Linked DNA regions of Mytilus edulis. The protein of the gene in region 1 interacts with the protein of each later gene in a biochemical or structural test. Links are inferred from orthologs where the notes say so. Each region holds a gene or a part of one and is shown in the gene's direction. Other genes may lie near its edges.

Evidence for each region.
Region 2: the proteins of transcription elongation regulator 1-like (region 1) and splicing factor 1-like form a complex in vitro, tested with the Homo sapiens proteins (3 studies listed by BioGRID). The link is inferred for Mytilus edulis from reciprocal best matches to the Homo sapiens genes TCERG1 and SF1.

The regions. Positions count from the first base shown.
Region 1 is NC_092347.1:74,834,995-74,838,931, reverse strand, and holds the start of transcription elongation regulator 1-like, read left to right. Parts: upstream 1-949; 5' UTR 950-1,012; coding exon 1,013-1,146; intron 1,147-3,434; coding exon 3,435-3,747; intron 3,748-3,937. UniProt on the Homo sapiens protein: Transcription factor that binds RNA polymerase II and inhibits the elongation of transcripts from target promoters. Regulates transcription elongation in a TATA box-dependent manner.
Region 2 is NC_092352.1:75,383,587-75,387,523, forward strand, and holds the start of splicing factor 1-like, read left to right. Parts: upstream 1-1,443; 5' UTR 1,444-1,453; coding exon 1,454-1,634; intron 1,635-3,937. UniProt on the Homo sapiens protein: Necessary for the ATP-dependent first step of spliceosome assembly. Binds to the intron branch point sequence (BPS) 5'-UACUAAC-3' of the pre-mRNA. May act as transcription repressor.

The DNA.
Region 1 (3,937 bases):
AGTTATCTGCACTGATTCCTGTATAAAATTTTGCTAGCTTGATGATTGGTTATTTGCAATCCAAGATGACGAAAAAGGTAAACGGACAGAAAGTCACAAATTTGATAGGACAAAAAGTCACAAATATTTTTTCAACAATTGTTGGAATCAGAGACATATAATACAATTATATAAATATTGTATTATATGTCTCTGTTGGAATATATAAGAGAAATATCTTGAAATATTTACTTTTTAATACATATACTCATATTAAAGTTAATGGAATTTATCATTTTACTTGAAAAATGAAGATTTATTTTATTTTAATCATGCAAAAGACATATTTCTTGGCACCATGAAGCCATTTGAGTGCCAATCTTCTTTGACATTTTGTTTTCTTAACAACTATTTGATCATCTTTGATATTTTTTTGATAAATTTTGCTTACAAAGTTGGTTAATATACAATACATCAAGAAAAATACAAAAATATTTTTGTAAAAATAAGCATTTTTTATTCAAAGAAAATAATCAGAAAAAATGAATTGTGACTTTTTGTCCTGTGACTTTTTGTCTGTGACTTTTTGTCCTGTGACTTTCTGTCCTACATTCGGCGAAAAACAGTCATATTAACTTTTAAAATATGCATTAGCTCTGTCTCTTGATATGATTTGTCTGAGCTGGCATTATAGACGAATTCAACCTAGATTTTAACATCGAGACAATATCGAGAATAGTGTGATTGTGAAGACGGTTCGACTCGTCTTACTAGTTGGTCCGAGATGTCCCAAAATCGTGACAATATTAATATTTTATATTCCAAAGCCGAAGAAGTATTCTAATATGACGTTATTCGAACACTGTCGCTCGTGACTAAAGCCGAAGTAGTATTACTTGGTGTATGATCGAAACGCCTTTAAAAACCGGACGACGACGTAGGATGAAACAAGTTTAGCCTATGTTAGTCTACCAAGTCTGGTACCTACTGGAAAATCGGAACCAGTTAGCCTACAAAAACGCGACCAGACAAGATGGGCGACGATGAACAAAATGAACATGATCATCATGACCATGGGCCTAGAGACAATGGTGATCGTGATTTCAGATCTCACAGAAATCAATATAACGGCCCTCCGCGTGGCAGAGGATATATGAGAGGACCAAGGTACCAAAACTGAAGCATGAAAGCTATGTTCTGTATGGTCGGCCATCTTTGTTGCTAAAAATTGATCCAGTTGCCGGCGTATGGATAATTTTAATTGCCAAACTATTGTCTGCTCCGTAGGCGACAATATTATCATTTAGTCCAATATGAACTTTGAAATTTGATTTGATGTGCGCATCCATGTTGCAACAAATGGAGATAAAAAATTATCAAAAATTTTCACCAAAAATGACATGGACTTCCCCCTTTTGTAAAATTTTCTCTATTTATTATTTACAAAAAGAATAAATCTGCTAACTTTCCTGAACAACTGTCACTATAAGTCAGCCGTTAAAACGCACAATTTTATTAAAATCCACATCATTTGCTGTTTTTTTTTTCTATGGAGACAATCATGCACTGAAGTTCTTTAATTCTTTATACACATGACCAAAATCCTGAAAATTTTAAAGTTTGATTCTGTGTTACACATGCATCCACTTAATATTTGCGCAAGCAACAGATGTTCATACATTTTATAGTTTTGAATTTTACTCCCAAGTACAGGGATCTCCATGGATGAAAATTGAACGATGGAGGAACTTTCACCATCATAAACCGTATCTTCACCGTACAGTGTAGCGCAATCGAAGTATTTCATCCCTCCATATAAGGATAGGTGAACATGCTAATTCATTGCTTATTTAAATTATATTTATTTGAATTTTCATTATAAATTCTAAATAGAAGTATATACATATTTTCAATAATTGCCGTTTTCAACCCTTCAAAGGCCAAGCCCTCATGCCCCCTCCCTTTCCCTTAGTCAAGAACGACCAATAGCTATCACGGAGGTCCCCATGTAGTTTTCTTGCTATTTTTGGTAATTGTTATTTGGGTTAAAAATCATGTGGAGCTTTTTTTTTCACGGACACTGTCAAATTCAGAAGTCATGAACCCATTACCGGTATGGCTGGTTTGCAGCAACGACAAAACGAGTCGTACAGGTTATGTAAAAGTTAAAAAGATTTGTAAAGCAAACGTTGTCAAATGAAAAGGTTTTTATTGACTTTATCTAGCAAATTGATGCTATGCAACATTCATCTTTTGAGTCTGAATAGAAACCGGAAACGCGGATGTATCAATTTGATTGTTAACTACGAAATGAATTCGGAATTACGATACGATATTTCTTTACAAGAAATATTAAAAGTTTTTACTCTTTAACTTTTAAAGTAATTCTATATTATCGTTACAATACAGCAGTACTCGAGTTATTTGCGATGAAATAATAATTACTGTTTTACGTCTTATTTTTTACTTCTTAAAAAGGGGGATGCTGCGTAAGTCAAAATTAAAGCACGTGGTCGACTTGTTAAACTTTGTAACTGGATTATTAATTTATTTATTTAATCCGAATTATCATAAGCATTTGTGGAAACTTAGTTAAATAATTTGACAAATGAATCGTCTATCTTCAGATAATATTCTCCTGTCTGGTTTGTTGATCTACCTGAACAAGCTCGGGTACAAGTGATTAGCGATCTTAATCCGGATATCCCTCAGGCGTTTGAACTTTATTGGATTATACTATAAAAAAAAACAAAACCTGAGGGTTATGTAATTTCATGCATTTAATTATAATTGCTAAAAAAAATGGCGTCAGGCTATAAAAACGATCACAGTTTTGAACGATGGCGGAAGACAATTGAACGATGGCGCGAGTCATTTGACAATGACGCAAGACATTTGAAAGATGGCGCCTTAAACAGGCCATGGAGATCCCTGTTGTAATCTAGTAATAGTATATGTGTTGATCTGAATAGTACAAAATTGAGTCAATAATGTACTATTGTAGCAGATTACTTGAAGTCTGATTAGAACACTTTAACACCTTTTCAAGAATAATATTTTGGCAAGGCAATTAAAAGTATTGGGGTCAGTTAGAGTTAAGATTCAGAAATAATCTTACTCTAAATAGTTCTGATGTGTAGTCTCACTCAAGGTTCTCGTTAAGACGTGTATACTTGTCCTGGACTTGTACAAATCCAGCTGAATGTGTCACTTTTGAAACTTGTGAGTCACTGGGATGTATCCCTTGAGTCCCTAACACATTGTTTTACAAAAAATATTTGTGATTGTCGCCATTGTTTTGACAGGAAACTAAACTGGAATTTGATGTTGAAAAATCTATGTTATGTCTAGATCAGTATTTTTGTTGACTGAGAACTTTTTTTTTAATGACGTCTTTATTCTTAAAATATGATAATTCTGTTCATTGTAATTAATAAAAAATGAATGTCTTTCAGAGGACCACCACCATTTAGAGGTCCACCAGGACCAGGAGGTCCTCCAAGAGGATACAGGGGGCCACCACCACCTGGCATGAGAGGCCCACCACCACCTGGAATGAGAGGTCCCCCACCACCTGGAATGAGGGGTCCACCCCCACCAGGAATGCGAGGCCCACCTCCATTTGGAAGACCTCCATTTGATCCAAATTATGGACCTCATCCAGGAGGGCCTGGTGGACCACCACCTCAGAATTATCAGGGTATGCCTCCTCCTCCAGGAATGCCACCACCTCCAGGGATGCCACCACCACCTGGTATGCAAGGAATGGTAAGTTTTCCAAAAAGTCCCTCAGAGTAAACTTGAATGTTGGCCAGACTGTAACGGTAATGTTAATTTCTTTTTAAAAACTCAAGTTAACAGAAATTATAACATTAAAAATCAAGAATAATGAACATGATGAAAGAATTTGCAATTGATAAATTCAGTAAAACCCTTGAAAATATTTGTGTTTTTTCAA
Region 2 (3,937 bases), on another chromosome or scaffold:
AACGAGCTCACAAAACTTCTATTAAAGTACACATAGTGCTTATGTTAATTTCCAAATTGTGGTAGGTTTAGTCCCTAGTTAAAAAAAATATGTCTTATTCCCGACAAAATATGTTAGAACCAAACAGAGGCTAAAAAATCATCTTGTGATAAAATTATTAATATTTTTGTTAACAATGGCTTATGATATCATTATAAAATTAAATTGTCAATCAACATTTTCACTTAGATTTTATCTTGCATGTTAATTTAATGGCTGTACTATTTAAAATAGTTTGTTTCTTCCAATTAAAAATAGATAAGGAAAATGTATCTAGCCACCATCGCCTGCCCATAGAACCGATAAAACTGTCATTACTATAACCTCAGATACTAAATAACTTAAATCACATTTTAAAGATTTATTGTGACACATTTAACCTCTGCCTTGTTTCAAAATATTTTTAATTGTTTTCTAGCATTGCTTGTGATAAATAATTTACTGATAAAATACAATGTCATGACCTTTTCTATCTATATTCAATGTCTGTCAACAAATTGTCAGTACAGTTCTAATTTTTGGAGGTGACCTAAAAGTTTAAAAGATTTTCCCATGAAGCTGATGTGAAGACCAAAATTTCATTGGACAGGTTAAATATTGAAATCCAGAAAAAGTCATTAATTGATCATTGAATAAAACTATATATTTATGTCAAACAGACAAATTTTTTATTCTTGATTTAATTAAAGACCAGAGTTCCAATGTCACCTGTGTTGCATATATTTTATATTTCCAAAGAGCATAAATCTTTTAAAAAGTAGATCGTCCACATTACAGAACTTGCCCAAGATGTTACAGATATATTAACCTATAGTATATTTAAGTTTAATAGTAATCTGACAAGAATTACACCCGTGAGAGCGCTAACAAGACTGGACTGACACACAGATGAACAGACACTTGGATCATCGGTATTTACATGCCCCTCGCAATGTGTTATGCGGGGGTGGGGGGCAAATAACTTAAATGAATGATACATGTATATTGACATGCCATAGATACATAGATCTTTTACCAAATAAGCAAATTCATATCTTTTTCAGTTGAAACATACAGAAGCCAAGTGTCGTTTTTCTTGCAAAAGACTGTTCTGTTGATGCTGGGTTTTTTTTTTTTTAATACTAGTAGTTTATAATTTTAACTTTGCTTTGCAAGTAAAATTAATTACACCAGAATGTTGTTAACTAAAGTAAAATTGCTGAAAGACCCCCTCCTAAATTATAGAAATCTATTATTTAACATTAATCATGGGGTTTTTTAATATTGTTTGGCCGAAATATAACCTTAAAAAATGCCCATGACTCATCCAAGGTGAATTATATTGGTATAATTTTGAACACACAACTCCACTACACTCTATTTCCTAACTCCATGTTTTCACTCCGTATCTCCACTCCACTCCACCTTTTAGTTCATGTCGTTAATTTTTGTACGTTATTGTCTCTTTTCAGTTGGTGTCTATTTTGGTTCTTGGACGTCGCTATCACAGAAACGTTTGCATTACTTTGATTACGCCATTTTGTTACACGACATTGTTTTGTTTGCCGGACCAAAAATGTTTCAGTCAACCAAAAGATCGTATGATTACGGAAATAGTGAGCATATTTCAAAGCTAAACATTCCATATTTTTATCAGTTTAAAAGTTTCATAGCCTATATGTCCAATTTATCTAACCTTGACTCGAACTACTCGTTTCCAAATTTTCACATTTTCCCAGAAAACAGACCTTAAGTACATGAGTGAACATTACATATGTGAAGAAACTACAAAAGAGGAAACGTACACAAGTGTTTACAGTGTCATTTGGGACACTTACTAAAGACTAAAGACTTGCCTTTGGAAATTTTAAATTAGAAAGTTACAAGATCTATGCCCCAATAAAACAAATTTTAAATCAGCTTCTATAGTCGCCGTCAGCTGAAATTCGTAGCGGTTATCGGTAAAAATAATCTAAACTATCAATCGCGTTCACTCGAGATATAGTTTTTCACATTCCATTCATAAATCGCATAAAGAAAAACCACTACTGACCTACCTTTTAAGTGATCACACTGTAATAATCCTGACCTTCACTTTTTCATAGACGATTTTGAATGGTGGAATCAGCCATTGTTTTTACCGGAAGTGTTTCCGTGGAGTTCAATTTCATAAAATTTGCATAAAGCGCGGGAAACCTTATCACATCAATGAAAGGAACATTTCAGGAATCTGCGTACAGTGACGAATGTCATATGTAAACAAATGATCCTCATAGAAACGAAGATGGCGGAATTACAATGGAAAATATTCTGGAAAATGTGAAGGTCAGGATTATTACAGTGTGATCACTTAAAAGGTAGGTCAGTAGTGGTTTTTCTTTATGCGATTTATGAATGGAATATGAAAAACTATATCTTGAGTGAACGCGATTGATAGTTTAGATTATTTTTACCGATAACCGCTACGAATTTCAGCTGACGGCGACTATAATTAAACATGGCCTTTCAAGGTGTCATAATTATTTTGACTAGCTGTGCACATGAAATGGGCTGGGGTATTAATTGCTAAATCACACATTCCCTGTAAAAATTTACTACATGTACATGTGAAGTTATGGCATATAGAGTGGAGTTCCTAGCAGCCAGTCTTCATGCTAAACCACAAGTCCTACGTCATTGGCTTGTAAAATTGCTCTTGTGCTTGTAAAATTCTTCTTTACAAACCAACAGAATCAGTGTTCTCCCCAGGCCGTTTGTACAACTCTCCAAAAATTACTTTTTTTCTCTTCCGGTAATACAAGAGCGAGAATTTTGGTTTAGAGCTAAAATAAGTTTAATACTTCTTTAACAAGTTATCATAATTGGCTTAAGTTAATGTTTAATCCATTCAATGCATTAAAAGCGTCTTATTCATTCACAATCTCTTGTCAAACAATGTTTATTCTCGGACTCATTTTCGTAAATTTTTCTACGGCCGCCATTGCACATTTTTGTGTAAACTACGGATAGGAACCGGACCAGATATGACAAAAATCAGCATTTTGACGATAATGACAACAGATGGACAGTAGACAGAAAAAATATACCAAGAGAGAAAACTACGCATTAACAGACTATTTGTTAGATAACTTTGTTAAAAATACATATCATTTTGATGTAAAGATAATAAACAACTGGGACTAATTCATTGAGTGCCATGAAACAATGAATTTCATAAACATGATAAAAAAGTTTTTAAATTGATTTTTTTTGCTACTTTTGCTACTTTATCTTTACTTAAAATAATAAAAAAAATAGTTAATTTTGTGTACTAGATATTGAGTTTTGTATATATACAGGTTGCACTATAATGAACCATTCATTCATTTGACTTATTGTTGAGTAACTGAAACCACATATTTATTTTTGTTTGGCACAAAAGGAAAAAAATAATTCTGTAACTATAAATGAATAAAGAAAACATAAATTGAAACAACTGTTTTAGTGGTTATAGTTTAAACGATTTGGTCAATTTTTTTAAATTTGACTTCTGTTGGGTTTGAGGGTAGTTTTGGGGGTGTAAAACTGACCAAAACAGTCTTTAGAGGTTGAAAATCGGGAAAAAAAATAATTTTAGTTTAACTCATTCACCCCTAAGAGATTTCTGGAAAATCAGGCATTTCCGAAAATTTGCAATCATATGCAAATTAGCAGACTCTTGATGCTGTAACTGCTGCTCATCTATTAAACTATGTATTGCAATTTGGGGGCGGATGGCATGGGTCGGTGGTGGGGTGGGAGGTGGAAGATTTTCTCGTGGGTTTGAACCCACCCCCACTGAAAAATGGTCATTTTCCGTCTATTTTCCGATTTTAAAACGAGCTTGAGAGGTGAACATTAACCAGACTGTGTCACTTTGTCAATCAAGTATTACCCTATA